3 linked regions of the Oryzias latipes genome follow. The protein of the gene in region 1 interacts with the protein of each later gene in a biochemical or structural test. Links are inferred from orthologs where the notes say so. Each region holds a gene or a part of one and is shown on either strand. Other genes may lie near its edges.

Region 1 (3,722 bases):
CAGCTCCCGTCAGCTTATTTTCATATCGCTCTGAGCTTTGGTAGCAGATTGTTACAGACAAACTAATGCTGTGAAGAATAAAGTATCATTCTTAAAACTTTTTCTCGCCCAAACGTTTTTGATCCTGAAAGTGTTTTTTCCTCATTTAGCACTTGACGTCTTGTTTCAAATCTGCTTCCTGGTTTATAAACCTGTGCATTTCTCTAAAAGAGGCTGTTGGACTCGAATGGTGAGAAAGTTAAGGACTTTCTTTTAGAAATCTAGCTTGTCAATGTTAACAAAATCCCACCAAAATAAAAGCTGTGAAATGATTAGATTTTAAAACCAAATAAACTCAACAGAAAATATGAAAACTGTTTCATTTGCAGCCTACAGTACACATATTTTTGTTGGTGTGTGTGGTTGTCATTTACTTTGATAAATGTATATGTATGATTTTACATAAAGTTGTGTGTAAATTTGTATTTATCCAGGTTGATTTCAGTTACCGTAACAGAAGGTAAGGAAGCAGACTGGATTTGGTTTCTTTTATTTAAATTGTTTCACCTTCAACTGCTTTTTTTTAACCTACTATATTTACACAAAAAGATATGTTTAATGTTCTAGTTTCTTCAAAAGCATTCATTTCTGTTACACATTTTAGTTTATGGTACTTTATACTTCAGTTTTCAGTCCTCAGATCTGTAACTAAAATTAATAAGTACCTTCGAACAAAAACTCGGCTTAGATTTAAATAAAAACTTGATGACATTTGCAGTATTGATTGAAAACCTCCAAGTGTACAGATGACCGACGTCATAAAAAGCTTTTACTTTGAAAGACGCCGCCGGAAGTTTCCCATTTGTTGCTTTTTTTTCTCTTTTTTTTCCATCAAACGGGCTTCTCCGGAGGATGGCCAGGCTGTGTCAGGGCTTGGTCGTTTTTTTTAATCTGAGAAAAGGAGATTTCGGCAGCATGGAGGAGCGAAGACACTGAATCCGCGCATTTCAACGATGATCTAACCGCTTAGTTCCAGGACCCGCCATGGCCATCCGGGAGCTCAAAGTTTGTCTTTTAGGGGTGAGTTTTTCTTTGATGATGCACTCCGGAGAAAATTCCTCTTTAGTTGGCTGCAACTTCAACTCCAAACATTAAATGCCCCTTTTGTCACTTAAGTAAATGTTTAAATGGACTTTCCCCTCACTTCTCCTTGCCTGTCGTGTTTGAAAACAGAAATACTTCAAATGTTTCTGAGGAAAACAGATTTGGGGGGGGGGGGGGGGGGGGTTCATGTAGAGCTTCGCATCGCAGGTTTTAAACAAAAATATTTCGTCCTACCTTTCAACTTTATTTAAGACGTTTTAAAAGCTTGTTTCATCGCTGACCGCAGACGTTAGAGATTTTTCTGCTGCGTTAGCAGAAAATAGGGGAGAAGAACCCCCCCCCCCCCGTGCTGTCTTTTTCTGCGTTGGTTTGATCCAGTATACTTTGTGATCTTTTATTTAAAAAGCGCCGCCATTGTGTTTTTCATAAACTAAAACGATGAACTCTGAACTTTTTCGAGCTTCGTGGCCCTTCCAGGCTCCCGTCACGCAGATGAGGACTAAGTTAACCGAACTGTCACTATGTCCCCACACACACGACCGCTGTAAACGACCTCCTGAACACACCGCATGCTGCTCCTGTCCCGATGAGATGGGGTGAAGGATGCGTGACTCATGCGGGACTGACGCGTACCCCTTTTTGGTTCCAGGACACTGGAGTCGGGAAGTCCAGCATCGTATGCCGGTTCGTTCAGGACCACTTCGATCACAACATCAGCCCGACCATCGGGTAAGTGCGGGACAAGCGTCCTGAAATGTCCACCAAACACCAACACAGAGACGGAGAACAACAACCAGGAGGCAGTGGTTTTTTCTATGGGCGGTCGCCCAGGGCGCAATCTTGTAGGGGGCGCCCCCCGCAAGAAAAAACCCACTAAAAACTTTGACAGTTTTCTATCCTGGACTAGAGCCGCCCACTTCCCCATAAAGTTAACAAAATTTGTGCTAGGGCGCCCAACTGCCGTGTCAACCTGCTGCTGTGTATTTCTTTAGCAGGTAGAGAGGCGGAGGAGGGGCTTAGACAGATGGAAAAGTCTATTCAAGGTTGTGGATTTATTCATTCATAATTGTGTCAGGGTTGTATTCAGCTCAAGAAAAAAACAACAAAAAAACAGTGGAAATGTGAACATTTTTACCAGAACCAGCCTTTAAAAATAAAATACAATCCGATGCGTGTTAAGTGTGAACTACCTTACATACTAGATCTTAATTGCGAAATCAACTACACAAATATATTTTACTCATCTGATTAATAGAGTAAAATAAACGATATATGTTGTTTTTGTGTTTGTTTGTATGCAGGCTTTGAGTCATTGAGGGCTGGGCTGCAAAGGGGGGTGAGGGTGGGGTGAGGGTGCCATCCTCCTGGCAGAGGACACTGGGATTGGAGTCCAGTCTCCTGATAGAGAAACGGGGGTTTTATATCATGCAAAATCAACGTTTTAAGCGTATTATAATGTTAATTCCTCACAAAATAAAAAAACACAACCCCAAAGTGGTGTTTTGACTCGTCTAGACATTTCTGAGTATTCCTCTACCTGCTCTCTGAGTTCCCGCCCCTTTCAGGAAGAGTCTGTGCTGCCAGTCCCGCCTCCAGGCTAACAGACACGCCCACTTTTTCAGTGGAGCTAGTGGTGATTAGCTGAATGCTTCCCCTTTCTATGCACGAGATTTACATCCATCTTTGTAAAAGTTCGGTTGTTTTCGTGGGAGAAACGCAGAGGCCGCCACTGTGATGACGTCATAACACCCACAAGCAGCAAAAGGCGGAGCCTCAGAGATCGAGGCGTCTAATTCCGGTATAAAAATGAGGTGTGAAAATAAATCGCATTTAATGAAAAAAATGTGTTCTTTAGTGTGCTAAAGGTAATATACTATCATATACCATCATATAAATGGTTACAGTTTACTCTGAAAGGCTTAAGAACAGCACGATTGTCCTCCATCATTAGAAAAATATTAGAAAAACATGTTAAAACACCAAAAAGTCCTTTTTCATTGGAGTAGGTCTTTAAATACTGGATATTTGAATGCTTGTGTAATCCGCTGAATCCTCCACAGAGCATCATTCCTGACCAAAACCGTCCCCTGTGGGAATGAGCTGCACAAGTTTCTGATCTGGGACACGGCTGGTCAGGAACGGGTGAGTTTTTGTCCTCTGCTGAGTGAGGTTTTCATGAATATTTCTTTTCTATGCTCACATTTCCAGCATGATGACAGAACTTCAGTAAAGTAGATTCAGAGGAGCTTTGAGTGCGCTATGGAGTCAAGACTACGAGTCTTTTCACAATTTTCCAAGTCGTGAGCCTGTCCCTGCTACTGCCGGGTGAAGGCAGGGCCCAACCTGGACGGTCTGTCAAAGGACCACACAAGCATACACACATGCAAACGTATAGGTGCAATTTAGAATCATCAATTACCCTATGGAGCATTTATTTGGACTTTGGGAGGAAACCAGAGAAAACCCACATATACAAGACTTTTTTTGTGTCTCTTTTTTTGTTTTTTCCGTAGGACAAACCACTACACATAAGACATTAAATCAGCAGTCTGTAATCTGGATGATAATCCTATCAGGCTCATGAATTGGCGTGTCATTAGCGTAGAATGTGAAGAGTAAACTCTCCCGACAAAAGGCTT
Region 2 (3,757 bases), on another chromosome or scaffold:
TGTTTTATTCTGTTTTAGTCTTTGCAGAAGTACCTTAATGAGCATTTATTCAATGCTTTACCTCAGAGTAGCATTGTTTACTCTCACCTGTTGAGTACTGTTATCTACATTTAAACTTCTCTTTTGTCCTTCCACGAGTGCCCTCACAGGCAGGAAGAGGAAGTGGTTTAAGATTGATGAAGCCATCGAAGAGCTGCAGAGCCACAAGCCTGTCCACGCAGAGTACCTGCTGAGACTCGCAGACTCCTGTGGTCCTTTTCGTGTCTATACCCCAAGTACCGACAGCTGTCCGTGCACTCGTGTGGCAGAAAACGGTGCATCCCATTGCTTTGTTTGCTCCACACAGGGCTCTGATCTGGTCAACAGATAAGACTCACTGCAGGCAGATCCACCGAGAGGACTGTGTTGGACTTCATGGTCTGAGATGATTGCATTAACCCTGCCTTTTAAAATGTACAGAATGAATTTATATCAAATCCAAGTTGAATTGGACTAAAGAGATGTATGATTCTTTATAAATGTATTTATCAATTTCATTAAATATTTTCCAACTGCAGTTGAAGCCAAGCATCTACTTAAAATATCAGGTGGATTAACTTTGCTGTGCATATGCAATGTAAAGATATTACAAGAGAACTATATGTTGAGTTGAGCTGTCAGGGGTTTTCATAAGATTTGTACTGTATGAAGCTGGTGCCAATTTGATTTTTTTGTAGAATGTTTTGTAGAAAAATTGTGGCTTTTTCTAGTGTCATTTTGTGCTCATTTGAAGTGATGGGTAAAACCCCAGATTTCTGCTAGTAGTTAAAATTTTCTTTAATTATATGATGAAGCAGTTTTTCTGAAGAAAATCATATTTATAAAACATAAAATTATGCAGGCACCTTTTAAATGTGAATTAAAAATATCCTATTAAATAAAAACAATTCAAATTTTATAGTAAAATGACTTTGTGTTTTTCTTTCTCCACGTCTCTGTACCAGAACCAAACCTTTATTTTTACTTTGATCATCACTTTTTGAGGTAACTCTTATTTATTGCACTTTAAGTATCATTAATAAATATAATTTATACAATTTGCTGCAGGTTAAGTTATTGTTTTAAGGAGAATTATGTTCGATCTCATGGACAGGAAATGTAATTTTAAAGAAAATATTAAATAGGAAAAAAAATGATTAAAAATTCATTATGATAAAACAAGAAACCACGTTTTTATTATTGCCCTTGGCTTATATTTTTAAATAAAGCCTTTTTCCTATTCATAGTTTTTTTTTGTTTGTGACTAATCTTGTGTGCTACATCAAGTTATATGTATATATGTATACCAAAACGAAAATATTCCGTTTTATATTTAGTTGTCATTTCGTCGTGCTGCAGATCTTGACCATGTTGAAGTGAAATTCTTGCGTCCATCTCCACATGACCCGCCCATCCGCCGCTGCTGCTCAGCTCCCTGTGTCTGGTCAGGTGCTCGTCGTTCTCAGACGTAAACTTTTCATTTAAGCACCTGGATTCAGTTTGCGTCAGGACAAGCCAAGCCAAGCCAAGCCAAGCCAAGCCAAGCCAACGCCATGCTCCGACGGATACTTCAAATGGTACACTGTTAGGCTTCTCTTCGGCCGGCGTCGCTTCTGTTGTTGTCAGGAGTGCTTGGTTTAGAGACACGGGCCTATCCGTGTCTGGTTTCGTATCACGGGCGCTTGGTTGTTCATTTTGTCCTCCGTAGTCAGGCGGGGTTAAATATCTTAGTTAAAGGCTACTTAACAACGGCGTACTTTGTCGTTTCCGACAAGTCCCGGTGTGGAAATCAAGCTTCCTTTCCCTTTGGTTGACAAAACTAGCATCAAATGCTAACTTTGTTCAGTTGACAAGTGGTTCTTTTGACAAGGTCGAAATGAACAGCTGTAAATAAAATGCAGTTTACGAGCACACTGTTAAAGGGGCAACCGAGAACGTGTGTTAGTTTAAACCTCCGGTCTCCGAGACCTGTTATTTTTATGGTTTCTGTGTTAGCAGTACAGTAGCTGTGTGACAGCTCCAGGTTAATTCATCGCCAACACTGCCTTTCTTTAGCAACAAAAAAAATTCTGCGTCAATCGTAACTTGGCGATGAATTGAAAAACCACGAATATATAATAATTATGTCATGACAGAATAGGTGGTTGAAAAACTACCTGTTTGACCTGAAAAAACAAACAAACAGCTAAATAGTAAAAAAAAGCCAGACTTTTAGAGCCTCGTCGATAATGAGGGAAATTAATCATCAACGTAAATGCTTTTTTTATTTTAGTTATAATGGTTAGGCGATTGTTATACATAAAGAGCCTTTGAAGTGCAAAATAATTAACAAAATCAAAAATAAAAACTCAAATGAAATTTAAAATATTCTGTCCCTGCGGAACAGACAGAGACACGGGTTGTATTTTTTTCCACACGAACTTTTTTAAATGACGGAATGGTTGTTGGTCGTGTTTTCAATGTATTTGGGGGGGGGTTCCCACTATGAGCCAATAAGAAGATTCAAGTCTTTTCAGGAGTGCCTAAACAGGCTTATAGCTTCTTCAAATAAACATAATTTACAGCTTTAAAAAATAAAAATAAATTTTTTTCCTGCTTTGTAATAAAAACAATATTGAGCTGTAAAACATAAAAGAGGTCTTATTATGATTAAAATAATATAATGCGGTTTTTACTTTGTTAAAGTACCTCTACCTTTGGCTATTATGAAATGCAGATGTATTTCATTGGAAAATTAGCTTTTAGTATGTTCTTAGACAGTTACATATTATTTAAAAAAATATAATATATGAAATAGTTTACTAGATATTGTTGTGGTTACTATACTGAAGACTGAATCATATCTGCGCCGTTTGCTTTGTGGGGTCAAAGGTTACCCCATGACCTACACTTTGTTTGCAAGCTTTTCAATGATTAGGATCAAAAAGCCCACCATGCAGATCCACACAAACACACATTTTGACCTCATTATTCAGTCATGCAAGCCATGCCCAACCCAAACAAATTCTTCCTGTGAATGGTCTCTCTGGCACACCCACCAGCGTGTTTATGCTTCTGGTCTGTAAACTTTATAACACTTCCTTTTTAGCTGAAATCTGAACTGCAGAGTGCTTTGGTTAATGAGTGTTAGATCATGGCCTTTGAGCGATGCAGTAATGTTTTTATACATTTTGATGAATGAAGACTTTTTGTAGTTTGCAGATGGATAATCTGATGAATAAAGCTAAACATGTTCCTGAGTGTCTTGCCAGTAGGTTCCAGCCACTTGTTACCCATAATTCTTGGAAGCATTTTATTAAGGCAAAGGCTAAAATATGGTCAATGAACATTATCTGGGGTGGGAAGAACTGTGATCTGACAGTACTTTATCTGATACTGTTAGACAAGGGGAAGGTAACTGAAATGTCAACATTGTGATAAAGAGAAAAAATGTACCAATGTTACAAAAAGATCACAGAAATATAAAGATAGAGTGCAATTATCATAAATGAGATAGAGCCTGTGTGATGAGAGACTACAGCTTGTGGACCGACGATGTTACATTAGTCGCTGCTGTTGCTGAGGTGAATAAAACTCCTTTAACATCTGGGCTGCTGGGCTTTCTGTAAGTCCCCGTGTTTACAGACTCCTTTTGTAATTGCCTTCTGCAGAAGGTGCTAAAAGGGGCTGGGAGTTGGGGAGAAAATTTAGGTGGTCAGTTACAGAGAACTCTGCGTTGTTGCTGTGAGGTTACAGGATA
Region 3 (2,825 bases), on another chromosome or scaffold:
TTTATTTTGAAACACAACAATGGCAACTTTTGTCTCTTATATCATGCGACACCTGATTGGTGGCTGGTTGAACATTTATAACTCAAACAGGAAGCTGGGCAGAGTGTGTATTGTGTCTTGAGTGCATGCTGAATGAAGTGATCTGCCCTGGAACTCTTGGGTGTAAATATTAACTTTTTTTTTCTCTAGCATGAATAAATAATTCATTTTCCTGAGCTTCAAACAAAAACATTTGCTCTGTTTGTTCCACCCATAATACACTGCTGCTATCGATACTGTACCATCTGGAACGTTGTTGAATTTTCACTGTGTTTTACAGTTACAATGCAGAAAACATGTCCACTAAACCAGGGGTCAGCAACCTTTAACACCAAAAGAGCCAAAAAAGACACTAAATATGTATTGGTGTGGCCATAAAGCCATTCATTTATGATATGTAGCTTTTAAATATTGATAATTATTAAATTCCAAAAGTGTTACATTTTTCTATAAATAACAACTTTAACTTGTTTACTTTTTTTTTTTTTTACAGCAACACATACAAGATCCTTTCAAAATAAAGTACACCCTGGGTGGAATCAGATCCTCCTGCTGCAGCAGATTTACTTGAAGTAGTAATGCAAGACAACAAAGTCAAACATGGGATCTTCTACTATTATGACAACAGATGCTACATGCTATTGTGCTGCATGGATTAGAATATGTGTTTAACTAGCTTATTTAATATCTATTTAAATCATTAGCATTTTTCTTTTAAATCCAAAGAAACACAATGAAGGGATAAAAAAAATGCGTGTGAACTATGAAGCCATTTGTGAAATGTGAAATCTTTCAGCCACCTTCGTTCTTGTAGCTCTGCATGAGAGAACAAACTCCCCTTAAAAAATGAGCCCTCTGCATTCAGATCGGCCTTCAAGCAGATAATATTGTCAGAACTAAACCAGTTGACTGAACCAACGTGTGATCATCTCTGGGAAATGCTACATGGATAACACTTACCTATTAGAGAGGCTGTTAGGTTATTGTTGTGTGAATGCTTGAGGAGCTCCTTCAGAAAGGCCAGTAAGTAGCGAAAGACGTTGCGGTGTGCTCGCGGCAACAGTGAGATCAGCTGGAAGACGGCAAAGCAAACACAAACATCATCACAACAAATAGAAAAAAATAAAATAATAGAAATCTGTAAGCCTTTTTTTGTCTGCAACTGCCAACAGTTGACTACTGTCAACATCAGACTCGCTGTGACTGACCTGCTTGCAGAGGCGGCTGTCGTGAGCGCATTCTAAGCACCGCTGGTAGAGCTCGTAACACACCACGGGTTCAGGCAAGGCCTCGAGGAAGATCAGCAGAGCCTCAGCTACAGAGTGGTTACAACCAGCTATGCAGGGAGTTAAAGACTGAGATAGAACAAGCCTTCACAAAGTCTAAGCTGGGATAGTCAGCAGATCCAACTGTGTTTCTAAAATGAGCCGTTTCTGTGTCTTGTTTTTATTTACTTTAAGTGCAAAATTGGAAGAGTTCCTTTCACAATATCTAACATAGTCTTAAGGAATGCACAGCAGAGGATACGGATGGAGTCTGGGATGCTGGTGTCAAGACACTCAATGATGTGCTGGAGTTCCTCTTGTAAGCCTGGTGTCTGGAACAAGTCCTCCTGTGAGACAGCACTCAATATTAAAGCAGTCCACACCAGTTTATCAACAAAACTTACAGCTGTCACTATGAAACATTTTATATGAAAAAATACATTGTAATTTGTGGAACAAGTCCTTAAATACATTTGACTACATCATAAAAGTACTCAAAGTGCCTCTGATACAGACCATAAACAGAGTGATACTGACTGGCGCCAACCTATAACCATCAGGAGCTATGTGGGGTTCAGCACCCTGCCCAAGGGCACTCCGACACATGGGCGAGCAAGGCGGGAACCAAACCTGTGATCCTCCAATAAGAGGTCGACTGCTCTACTTTTGCACCACGGCTGCCCCTTATTAGGTCTACATTACAGGGTTCCAAGCAGTGAGAACAGTGAAGATGAAACTTGACTGGACAGGATCCCAAACACATCACCCGGACAACGAAGGAGTGGCAAGTCAGTCAAGGTTTTGGAGAGGTGTGGCCAGTGTCTCAATCAGACAGAGAATCTGTGTAGGGAGGAGAACGTCTCTGTTGCCCAGCAACAGTTCCACATCATCACAGCTCATGAGAAGATCTACGTGGAAGAATGGACCCAAAAAGCAGCTACAGTGCAAACCTGGTTGACCTTTAACCTCTCTCACGGACAACCAGGATGACATCACAAAGTATTGAGATCCATTTTTAATATTGATGAAATACCTTCAAATAAATGACAAACTTTACTTCTTCTTTTACTTAAGCCTGTTATTCCTCTGTGTTCATCTCTTCTGATGCACAAAACACCACAGAATGTTATTTAAGATGACAATGAGTTGTCAAAGTAAAAATATAAAAGAATATATTAAACCAGGACTGAACAATCATGCTCTTTGAAGTGCATTTATGTTGCTCCAATCTAACTGTGCACAATCATTGCTAGCCTGGTACATAAAGACTTTTTCTTATCGCCATCATAAACCCACGCAATCCGTCTGCCACATCCCGTCTTTTCCTCTTAACTCATTCACAAGCTCAAGGCCATAAACTTCCATATCTGCTTTATGCTACTCAATAAAGTCCCTCTAAACAATGGGAACTCTGAATCTCCAATTTATCATTTCTGAAATCAGTCCTTTATGCTTGTATCTAAGGCTGTGCCTGAATTATGAAAACATTACCCCCCATAATCCAGCCGCTCTTTTCTTTGA

Evidence for each region.
Region 2: the proteins of rab31 (region 1) and eea1 form a complex in vitro, tested with the Homo sapiens proteins (2 studies listed by BioGRID). The link is inferred for Oryzias latipes from reciprocal best matches to the Homo sapiens genes RAB31 and EEA1.
Region 3: the proteins of rab31 (region 1) and ocrl form a complex in vitro, tested with the Homo sapiens proteins (2 studies listed by BioGRID and IntAct, with this or other methods). The link is inferred for Oryzias latipes from reciprocal best matches to the Homo sapiens genes RAB31 and OCRL.

Annotation. Positions count from the first base shown.
Region 1 is NC_019875.2:4,811,229-4,814,950, forward strand, and holds the start of rab31 (ras-related protein Rab-31), read left to right. Parts: upstream 1-845; 5' UTR 846-1,023; coding exon 1,024-1,059; intron 1,060-1,732; coding exon 1,733-1,812; intron 1,813-3,143; coding exon 3,144-3,225; intron 3,226-3,722. UniProt on the Homo sapiens protein: The small GTPases Rab are key regulators of intracellular membrane trafficking, from the formation of transport vesicles to their fusion with membranes.
Region 2 is NC_019864.2:21,590,973-21,594,729, forward strand, and holds the start of eea1 (early endosome antigen 1), read left to right. Parts: upstream 1-1,406; 5' UTR 1,407-1,571; coding exon 1,572-1,595; intron 1,596-3,757. Other genes in the region: diphosphoinositol polyphosphate phosphohydrolase 3-beta, read left to right, coding at 150-370. UniProt on the Homo sapiens protein: Binds phospholipid vesicles containing phosphatidylinositol 3-phosphate and participates in endosomal trafficking.
Region 3 is NC_019868.2:9,863,384-9,866,208, reverse strand, and holds part of ocrl (inositol polyphosphate 5-phosphatase OCRL-1), read right to left. Parts: intron 1,652-2,825; coding exon 1,567-1,651; intron 1,376-1,566; coding exon 1,248-1,375; intron 1,112-1,247; coding exon 1,000-1,111; intron 1-999. UniProt on the Homo sapiens protein: Catalyzes the hydrolysis of the 5-position phosphate of phosphatidylinositol 4,5-bisphosphate (PtdIns(4,5)P2) and phosphatidylinositol-3,4,5-bisphosphate (PtdIns(3,4,5)P3), with the greatest catalytic activity towards PtdIns(4,5)P2.